Linked DNA regions of Mus musculus. The protein of the gene in region 2 purifies or fractionates together with the protein of the main gene of each other region. This does not show direct contact. Links are inferred from orthologs where the notes say so. Each region holds a gene or a part of one and is shown on either strand. Other genes may lie near its edges.

Region 1 (3,653 bases), on a different chromosome or scaffold from region 2:
CTTTGGGGCTACCTAGTTGGTTGGGTGTATATACTAGAAAGACAACCTGTTTGAGGTAGGAAGTGAGAACCAACACACCAAGTCTACCCTCTTGACTTCCCTTGCATACAGTGGTACATGTGCCCACATTCATATTCACATTTTTAAGTCTAACAGGCGTTTTGCCCAGAAAGTCACTTGAATATGTTTGCCTTTTACTTATATTTTCCTCTTACTTATAATAGAACAAAAAGAGCTTGGTGGCCTTTAAGATCATTCCTCTGGAAGACATGAATGAGTTCACCGCACACATCCTGGAAGTGGTCAATTCACACATGATGCTCAGCAAGCCCAACAGCCAGGTGAGCAGCTGCAACTGACTCCTCCCTTTCTGGGAAACCAAACTTAACATTCATATTTCCGTGTCTGTGTGTGGTGTGTGAGGGATCCCCTGCAGGTAGGGCTACAAGCTGTGTGCCACCTGCAGCCAAACTCAGGAAGAGCTCAAAGAGCTCCCACTGCTGAGCCATCTTCAGCCATCACGTGGTCCTCAGCACATTTTCTCCCCGAGCTTCGCCACTGTCCTTTAGTCTAAGTGAAACACTCATGTTTCTCAGAGTTTCCAGTTGTTTCTCACCCAATACCAAGATAGCTGACCAAAAGTTTCAAAGCCAAACAGCATTTTGCGTCCAACCTGTACGCCATAAAAACATCTCAACAACAGACATCTAATGGGTGTTTGACTGGATGGCCTAATAGGATAGAGTTTGTCCTCTGTGTGGTCGCACTGTGTTAAACCTCACAGGCCGTGTGACCCTGTTATTCAGTTCAGTGGGTACAAGACTTAGCGGATGTCCTGTTCATCAGCACTGCAGAGAGGAAGGCTTCTGAGAAGGTGCAGTGGGAGTGAGTGGGAGCCAGAGAAGCCTGGAGGGGCCACTGGGGAGCAGTGGGCAGCATTGTCTGCTGCTAAGAGGTCAGATGTTGTGGTGACCAAAAGGCTGGAGCAGCCAGGGACTAGAGACGTTGGTAGAACTCAATTCAGAGGATTTGAGATAATCCAGCTAGTGGTAGGCAGAGAAGGAGTGACCTAAAAGAGGGTGAAGCATCTGTGCCTTTCTCGGTCTTATCCATAGTGGGCAAGCCCTCTGCCAGGGATCTGTACTCACAGGCAAGCCTGGGCCCTTTTCTCTCTCAACAGGGTTTCACGATAATAAATGCTCACTTGAGCGAGCCCAGGGAAGCCGCTGTAGCTGGCATGTGAAGTCGTAGTGCCAGAGCCTCCTTTCCGGGGACAGGGAATGCATGCCTCGGGGTTAGTTAACGCTCCTTACGAGGTTTCATTGTTAGAGTTTTCCTATATCAGTCGTTACTAGGGAAACTGATTAAATTGTTTGCTGCTGTTTATTAGTAAGTTAGGTGGAGTAGGGTTGATGTGGTGGCTTTTCTAATGTTCTGATCTTGTTCTTAATTCAGGCCTCTGCAGGGAGACCATCGATGAGCAACCCAGGAATGAGTGAGCCGGGGAACTTCAGCGGGAATAACTTCATGCCAGCAAATGGCCTCACTGTGGTCCAAAACCAGGTAAGCTGCCTGCTTACCCTGCAGAGCACGGGCAGTCTGATAGTTTGTTTCTTCCCAAATGATGGGAGGTTATCTTGCAGCCTGCTTCACACCAACACCCCTCCTTTTTAACTTGTGTGTGCTTGCCTGCTTGTACAGATGGATATGTGTATGTCCACAATGCCCGATACCAGTAGAGGATAGAGAGGGTGGAAACCCAGGGTCTCCTGAGCCATCTTTCCAGCTCCTCTTTGTTTATCGTAAGTAAGCTGATGCAGAGTAGTTGGTTGCTAAAGTCTTTTTACTCTGAACTGTCAGGTGCTGAATTTGATCAAGGCTTGCCCAAGACCTGAAGGCCTGAACTTCCAGGACCTCAGGAGCCAGCTCCAGCATATGCCTGTTCCCTCAATCAAGTGAGTCTTGTTGTCCGTGGCCTTGGATCTGTCCACAACCTTCTGCTGGTGGGGAGTGGAAAAGGTGAAGCCGGATCTATCATCTCAGCACTTGAAAGATAGAAGCAGGAGGATTGGGAGTTCAGAGCCAACCTGGGCTGCCTGAGACTCACTCACACAGGAGTCAGCTGCTGGGAAGAAAACAGAAAAGCACTCACAGGTGGCGCTGTTGCACCGCTTACTGATTTGTTGGGACCTGAAGGCATCAGGCAGCCCTTCTTACTCCAGACTCCTGATTCCATTGCAGTGAACTGAGATGGGTGTGTGTGTGTGTGTGTGTGTGTGTGTGTGTGTGTGTGTGTGTGTGTGTGTGTTCAAGGCCAGCCGAGTTTACATAGCGAGTTCCAGGACAGCTCTGACTACATAGAGACCAAGACCCTGTCTCAAACAAGCAAACCCATTTACTAACTATATGCCGAGATGGAGTAAATGCCCAGGCCAGTTCCCCATTTTATGCTGTGAAATGGTGGTCGATAACGCCCATCTCAAAGTCATTGTGTTGAGGTAGCTACACTGTAAATGGCTCGTACTAGACATCTTCCTGTCTCTGAGGACCTAAGGATTTGGAGGAGTCTCTTTCTGGCTTACCTTTCCCTTCCCGCCACTCTACTGCCCATAGGCAAAGCAAACGGCATCTCAGTGTGTGATTCTGGGGCCTGAATCCAGGGAAGGGAGCTGTAAGACCCCTGTGCACATCTCATGTGCGAGCTGACTGTAGCTTCAGGATCTTACGTCAACTTAGATTGGCATCTAAGTGAAGCCTTGTTTTATTTTGGAATTTGAGTCCGGGATCCAAGGCAGCCCTGGTAGCTCTGGTCTGCATGGATAACCTCAACCCTTGGGTTGTATCGACATTTCTCTACGAGAGACTTCCATGAACAAAGTGACTGAGGAATTCACAGCTAAGAGAAGTACACAAACAAGTGATGTTTGCTCATTTAGCTATGTTCAAAAGGCGCTGGTTTTAATGTGGGGATCCCCCCCCCTTTTTTTTTCCTTTCAGGCAAGCAGTGGATTTTCTGTGCAACGAGGGCCACATTTACTCTACTGTGGACGACGATCACTTTAAGTCTACAGATGCAGAGTGACTGGAGTTTCCTGGGTGCCTGGAATCTGTCCAGCTGGGCCTGTGTTCCTCTGTCGGCCCCAGCTCTGCGGGCTTTGGCCAGAGGCTTCTAGGACAGAACTTTGCTGTAGAAGGTCTCACTCAGCTGAAGTCCTTTTGGAACTTAGTGCTCTCTGTTTTGTTGCTTGTTGTTTAGAGGTTCAGAGGGAGATAGACAGTTGAGAAGGAAGTAAACCAGGACTGGATTTCTTGTAAGAAATTCCAATAAGCTAGTCAGGACTCCAGGATGGGTGGTCGGAATTGAAAGAGGAACACTGCCAAGATGTCAGGGCAGGGCTTCAGCTTGCTTGAGAGCGACTGTTCTCCAAGGCTTCGTGTTGAGGACAAGCACTGCTAGGGCCAAGGGCCAAAGAAGAACCTACCACCCTCTGCCAGTTTGCGCTGCCCTCTGGGTCTGCGGGGTTACTTTCGGAATTGCACTTTCCTTCCCTTGTCTTGCCCGCCGTGGGAAGGAGGTTTAAGTGAGCCTGAGGTTCTGACCTGGAGGCCTCGTGCGGCTGAGAGAAAGAAATGTTATTGCGTGGTCTGTAATA
Region 2 (3,653 bases):
GTGGAACCATCAAATATAGCATTAAAGGCTGCTTCAACATTTTGGTCAAAGGGTTTCTGACTGCTGTCTTGTGCCTTTGCCAAGGATATTCTACTGTCTCCTTTCATTTGCTTCTTCACAGGAGTACAAGTGATTTCAGGAACTACATCACCTGACGGCTTCTGCACAGAATCTTTATGGTTATCTAAATGTCCCATTTTTGAAGTCATCTGGATAAAATCATGATTCTTCCCATCTTGCTCTTGGATCACATCAAGTTCTTCCATATTTTTATCAAACTGTTGGGCCAATTTCATAAGTTCTTTTTCTCGATTTTTTGTTTTTAATCTATTAAAAAAACATTGAAACATTTTGATTAAAAAATTGTTTAATAACTACTAGATTACTGTTTAGTATAGTTTCGTGTGACGAAACACCAAAATTTTAACTCTCAGAATACTATGTTTTTAACTCACATATTGAAACAGAAACCCAAGACTATGAGCAAGAATGGAGCGCCTGCCTCACTGACTTTCAGGAGGAGGGTGAACTCACTTTGTGCAGCTGGCTTTCACTCTTGACTTCTCTTTTGCTACGCCAGGAGTACAAGGAATAGCAGTTTCACCAATCCATACTCCCAGCATGGAATTTGTCACTGGTTTCTCGTCCTTCGAAAGACGAAAAAAGAGAAGCATAAGAGCCTTATAAAACAAATAACCACCCCTCCCTCTCTCAGGAGAGAGAGAGAGATGAGACTAGAGGGGGAAATTCTGTTGTAAGCACTCAACAAACTCAAACAATGAGAAGCTGGAGAAAGGCATTATGTCAGAAGCTATGATCCATTTATATTCCCACAACTAAAAAGTAATATTCGAACTTAGGAATTCCATGTTTATAAAAACCAAGGTTTGAAGTACATTACCTATATCAAATACATTTTGATGTTACATACATATAATATTTGGTAGAAGGAAAAATAACATTTTAGTTGTAAGATGTTCACAAAACCAGAAACAAACTACATACAACTATCAGACCTGAAAATAAGAATATATTCAGAATTTTTTCTGCAGTAGTGATTCTCCAAGTTTTCTTATCCTCATAAAGTCTTAACTAAAACTTGGGAGCTCTACCTTGACTTAGACTGAGAGTCTAAGTAATGTCAAAACAGATTATAGAGATTTTACCGCAAGGTCAAAGCAAAAGCTAAGAATGGACAACTAGAAAAAAAGACAAAAGCAGAAAACTTCAAGTATGAAAAAAAAAATCAACTTATTTTTGCTGTATGTCTTTAGTTCCTTAATCACAAAGTTATAAAATGAGCTTTATATTATAAACCAGTTGTTCTCAACCTGTGGGTCATGACTCCTTTGGCAGCTCTCTATCTCCAAAAATGTTTGCATTATGATTCGTAACAGTAGCAAAATTAGCTATGAAGTAAGCAACAAAAATAATTTTGTTTGAGGATCACCACAACATGTGGAACTGTATTAGAGTCACAGCATTAGGAAGATTGAGAACCACTGACATAAACCAAACTAGCAAACCAAATTACTTAATCAATCTTATTTGTTTACAGTAGCTAGAAAGAATAGAAGTATAAAACATGATACAAAGTTAAAACTACGAGACTATAGGGTATTCTAATTTGGGTCTAGAGTGGGAGAAGGCTTCACTGACGTCCTCTGATCTTTACAAAGTATGTGCCTGCTTGCACGTATCCATGGAAACAGCATTTTTTTAAAAAAGGGTCATTTTACATTGCTTGAAGATTTGGGTGAAAAGATATTTAGTTTTATAAAATCATAAAACCAGTTAATTTCATTGGAAGACTCAATATTTTCTGAGTTGTTTGTATAACACTCTTAAGTAACATCCTTAATGACTTAATTTTGGAATCTGTCCAAATAAATTAAATTCATATAAAGTTTCAGAAAGTCATAACAATTTTACATAGCCTCTCAAGCATATATATCAAGAGTCCTCTGTATATTTATGAGCTACTTGTGCTTATTTTAAATTATGATTATTACATAATTTGCTGAACCCTAAGTACATTCTAGGTGCCATACAAGTTGTCTAAGCCTTCAATTGATCTTAGCGTTGTATAAAGTTATATAAATAAGGCAAATAAAGACCTTAAACATCACAGAAGAAATCACTACAGGAAATGAAATGAGTATCTAATACGCAAATGTATTTCTTAAAAACTGAAATCAGAAACCATTTGGAAGAAATTAAATGATTTGAAGATAACTAAGAAAAACACAAATATGAAGAGCATGACATTTTCTGAGAAATCTTAATGCTGCCAACAATTAACCTGTTTTAAGAATGTCCGGCAGAGGGGCTGGTGAGATGGCTCAGGGGGTAAGAGCACCCGACTGCTCTTCCAAAGGTCCCAAGTTCAAATCCCAGCAACCACATGGTGGCTCACAACCACCTGTAACAGAGATCTGATGCCCTCTTCTGGTGCGTCTGAAGACAGCTACAGTGTACTTACATATAATAAATAAATAAATCTTTAAAAAAAAAAAAAAAAAAAAAAAAAAAAAGAATGTCCGGCAGAATAGCTAGGTGGTGGTGGCGCTCACCTTTAATCCCAGCACTCGGGAGGCAGAGGCAGGCAGATTTCTGAGTTCCAGGACAGCCTGGTCTACAAAGTGAGTTCCAGGACAGCCAGGGCTACACAGAGAAACCCTGTCTCAAAAATACAAAAAGAATGTCGAGCAGAAGACACTGACTGTATAATCCTAGCACTGCTGTCTTTACGTGAGCTGCTCTTTCCAGCCCATTTAGTTATGGAGCCAACAGGACACTCAACTTTGTATCACTCATGTCAGGCTAGTCAGCCCAAACATGCTTAACTGTGCTTTGATGTAGTTAATAAAGACATATTGTTTTTTTGTTTTGTTTTGTTTTGTTTTTGTTTTTGGTTTTGGTTTTTTGAAACAGGGTTTCTCTGTGTAGTCCTGGAACTCACTCTGTAGACCAGGCTGGCCTCGAACTCAGAAATTCGCCTGCCTCTGCCTCCCAAGTGCTGGGATTAAAGGTGTGCGCCACCACGCCCGGCTCAAGACATATTGTTAGCACACAGTAATAATATAGCATATATGTACTTCAGCCATAAAGAGTAAATACAATGAATCCTACGGCATGACAACATGGGAAGCAGAGATACCAGCTACAAAGCTGTACTGACTACTGATTATATGTCTAGATTTCTATAGCCGGAGACAAGTTGTACCTATCTTCTCTTTTTGGATATGTTGATTCCTCATAATCACATTTTGAACCAGTGAGATCTGTGGGTCATTACTACAGGCCAATAATACACTATCCTAGGGCATATTAAGGGAAAATACAACAATTTCCTCAAAGACAACAGTAAACAAAACTTAGATATTCTTTGAATTTAAGTGTTGTTAATTAAGAAAAAGAGGGCTGGCAAAATGGCTCAGCATGCTATCAAGTCTTGTGACCTGAGCTCATTCCCTAGGACAACCATAAGCCAAAGAAGAGAACTGACTCTGGCAAGGTGACCTCTCCCACACACATGCTGTGGGCGTGGGCAGGCAAGCACATACATACATAAGTACATACAATGTATACTTAAAGATACATATACACACATACTTTTTAAAACGTAAAAAAAAATAAGTAAGAAAAAGACA
Region 3 (3,653 bases), on a different chromosome or scaffold from region 2:
ACTGAAAATGTGATTATAGTATAATTTAAGAACTTATGACAGAAGAAATACAGAACATCAATAATAAGAACATATAATTCAGCAGCAAAAAAAAGAAAACAAGTCCTAGGTGGCCAGGATGAGTCAGAAAACTTTTTTTTAAAGAATTATTTATTTTATGTATATGGGTACATTATAGCTGTCGTCAGACACACCAGAAGAGAGCATTGAATCCCATTACAGATGGTTGTGAGCCACCACGTGGTTGCTAGGAATTGAATTCAGGACCTCTGGAAGAGCAGTTAGTGCTCTTAACCACTAAGGCATCTCTCCATCCCCCAGAAAACACTTTTTGAAGGCTATATTATCAAAGCAGATACTATTAACAAATTTTAAAATATTTCATTATATAGGAAAAAGTTTGTTCTGCATCCTTTTATGAGAGAATCAGAAAGTGAGGAGCAGGCAGATTAATGGGGTAGTAACAATACAGTAAAAGTCTAGAAAAATGCTTTAACATACAGAAAGCAAATTTTTCTTAGAAGGCAATGTAGTTAAGTTTTGTTTTGTTTGGTTTTGGTTTTTTTTTTTTTTTTTTAAGATTTATTTATTATTATATGTAAGTACACTATAGCTGTCTTCAGACACACCAGAAGAGGGAGTCAGATCTTGTTAGGGATGTGGTTTTGGTTTTTAAAGAAAGTGTTTCCTCTGTGTAGCCCTGGCTGACTTGGAACTTGCTCTGTAGAACAGGTGGCCTCCAACTCAAAGATCCTCCTGCCTCTACTACTGAGCACTGGGATTAAATGCATGCATGACTACACCTGGTATAAGTATTTTTGAGTAGAATGTCTAAAAAAAAAAAAAAAAACCTTTGTAGTAATTTGAGATGATGTTCTAGTAAAACTGTCAAAATGAAAAAAAAAAAAGTAGCTGAAGCTGGGCATGCTGGCATATGTCTAATCCCAGCACTCAGGAGGCAGGCCAATCTCTGAGTTCCAGGCTAGCCTAGTCTACAAATGCATTCTATGCCAGCCAAAGGTACATACGAGACCCTGCCTCAAAAACAAAACTGCTACCACTTTTCCCCAAAAGCAAATATGACTTGTGGGAGCATGTAATTATATAAATGTGATATTCAGAAAAGCAGCAAAGGAGATCTAATAAAACTGGTTAAGGATTAACATAAAATAACAGCACTTACCAATACAACTGTCTTTGGCCTCATTTTGGCCCTGGCTTCCATTCACATTTACAAACATAAGCGGAGAAGACTTCATGATGTGCTGGATAAAATCAAGTAACATCACAGAGGTCGGCTGAGCGTCAGTTTTCTTTACAAGTTCTAGAGCAACTAAGAGATAAAAGATTCTTTTTAAAAACTCATGACAAAATATAGAGCTTTTGTTAAGAAACTAAATTTTGGTAATCAAAACTTTGTCCAGTGGAGTACTCATGCTACACTGATACATGAAGAAGTCCTATTATCTAGTATGTGTATGTGTATGGTATATGTCTATGTACATGTTCGTGTGTGTGTGTGTGTGTGTGTGTGTGTGATGAATGTGACAGTCAGAGGTCAATGTTGGGTGTCTGCTTCAATCATTCTCTACCTTATTTTTTGAGACAAGAGATCTCACTGAACCTACACTTCACCAACTTAGCTAGACTGGCTGGACCAGGTTTTTTTTTTTTTCTTTGTATAGCCCTGGCTGTCCTAGAACTCACTTTGTAGACCAGGCTGGCCTCGAACTCAGAAATCTGCCTGCCTCTGCCTCCCAAGTGCTGGGATTAAAGGCGTGGGCCACCATGCCCTGCTGACTGGCTGGACCAGGAAGCTCCACAGATCTACTGTGAGAATTGCAGCAATCACAGGTGTGCATTGCTGCAGCTGCTTTTTAAGATTGTGGTGGGAATTTAAAGGCAGCAAGATTAATGTCTGAGTCATCTTTCCAGCCTACCACTTAATTTTCAATGTCTAATAACCATATACATTCATCTATAATATAGCCCATTCTGCAAACATTTGTTATATAGGCCTGTAAGATGACAGGCACCATGCTTAAGATAAAACAAAACAAAAACAATAATCTGGTGAAGGAGTCAAAGAATTAAAAATAGTAGTTTGACTTGGTAATTCAGGATAAAATGAAACAATTCTGGAAAGATCCCATGAAGGAGTTCCTATGGCTGAGGGAAAAGGCAAGTGGTGAGAACAGAGGGAGACCCAGAGGGAACCATATCTTACAAGTGTTCATAGCCCTTTGCTCTCATTTTAGCAACCTATGACTTTGTAGACTGAAAAGAACAAAGTTTAAGTGGTTATAATAAATCACAAAATGTGTTGGTACCAAATTTCACTTTTTTTTTTTTTTTTTTTTGCAAGTTGTTGATAAAGCCCATATGATTGGACCCAGTCAAATGTTTTATAACTAATGCATTAAAGAATTCTAGGAAGCCAGTAGAAAAATCATGGAATAATAGAAACACACCCTTGATTTTAAAGCCTAAATTACATTATGTTTTAAGTAATAAGCAATACTGAGTAACAATTTGCTGGAAATTACTATCTATAACAAAAACTAACTCTGACTAAAACTGCCTAGAGGAAAAACAGGTAGTACAATGTTACACGGAAAACCATTGAAGTTCATGGAAGAAATAATTCCCTCTTACCAACATTTACATCTGTAAGTATTCTGTCAATGAACTGGCAGAGAATCTGTCTTGGTTTCTGTACAACAGTGTTATATTCTTCTGGAGTAGCACTGAAATACAAAGTAAAGCTTGTTAAAAGAGGCACTATGGGAGCAAGCAAGATGGCTTAGCAGGTAAAGGCAGGCTGCCAAGCCTGGCCTTAGTTCCATCCCCGGATGGATATAGTGGGAGGGGAGAAGTAACTCCCATGAGTCATCCTCCACATGGACTGTGATGTGTGTGACCCTCCCTCCCAATAAATAAATTAATGTAAAAATGTTTTATTAGAGGTATGGTGGCACATACCTATAATTGGAAGCTGAGGCAGAAGGCCAGTGATTCTAGGCCAGCATAAGCTATTTAGAGAGATTCTGTCTCTACAAACTAATCCAGCAAAGAGCATTTCATCTTTAAAAGGACCTACTTTTCAATTTGTACAAAAGCTCTCTAAACTTGAACCTAACAAATATGATTGGTTTAAATGTTAACATAGACAGTATTATACTTCTTAAAAGTGAAAATCTAAAGATATTACTAATTTGGGGCGGGGAAAGTCTTAAATGCCAGTGCAGACAGCTAACCTTCATATTTTAGAAATGTGCAGCTCAAAATGGCAGCCATTAGCCACATATGACTATTTAATACTTGAAAAGAAGGTTATTCCAAATTAAGATGTATATAAGATACATATTGGATTACTCATACTTGGACAAAAGAATTAATGTTGCATTAATCGTCTTATATGAGTTACATATGAGTGTGATAATATTTGGATATAATGAGCTAACACAAACCCTATAAAACAAGGTAAGATACTAAGCCTAATTTGGATCTGAGGATGCTCTGGAAGTTAAATCACTGGAGATCACACAGCTCAGATTAATGGAAGCCTGGGATATAAATGCAATTGTGATTAATAAGACCAGAGAGATACCTAGGCTAGCTAGAAGAGCCGTAAGGAGACACAGAAAAACTGA

Evidence for each region.
Region 1: the proteins of Etaa1 (region 2) and Rpa2 purify together in Homo sapiens (affinity purification with western blotting; 4 studies listed by BioGRID, with this or other methods). This does not show direct contact. The link is inferred for Mus musculus from reciprocal best matches to the Homo sapiens genes ETAA1 and RPA2.
Region 3: the proteins of Etaa1 (region 2) and Atr purify together in Homo sapiens (affinity purification with western blotting; 3 studies listed by BioGRID, with this or other methods). This does not show direct contact. The link is inferred for Mus musculus from reciprocal best matches to the Homo sapiens genes ETAA1 and ATR.

What each region holds. Positions count from the first base shown.
Region 1 is NC_000070.6:132,774,793-132,778,445, forward strand, and holds part of Rpa2 (replication protein A 32 kDa subunit), read left to right. Parts: intron 1-224; coding exon 225-341; intron 342-1,455; coding exon 1,456-1,563; intron 1,564-1,860; coding exon 1,861-1,955; intron 1,956-2,997; coding exon 2,998-3,082; 3' UTR 3,083-3,653. UniProt on the Homo sapiens protein: As part of the heterotrimeric replication protein A complex (RPA/RP-A), binds and stabilizes single-stranded DNA intermediates that form during DNA replication or upon DNA stress.
Region 2 is NC_000077.6:17,947,241-17,950,893, forward strand, and holds part of Etaa1 (ewing's tumor-associated antigen 1 homolog), read right to left. Parts: intron 648-3,653; coding exon 535-647; intron 328-534; coding exon 1-327. UniProt on the Homo sapiens protein: Replication stress response protein that accumulates at DNA damage sites and promotes replication fork progression and integrity.
Region 3 is NC_000075.6:95,860,463-95,864,115, reverse strand, and holds part of Atr (serine/threonine-protein kinase ATR), read right to left. Parts: intron 2,748-3,653; coding exon 2,656-2,747; intron 1,334-2,655; coding exon 1,184-1,333; intron 1-1,183. UniProt on the Homo sapiens protein: Serine/threonine protein kinase which activates checkpoint signaling upon genotoxic stresses such as ionizing radiation (IR), ultraviolet light (UV), or DNA replication stalling, thereby acting as a DNA damage sensor.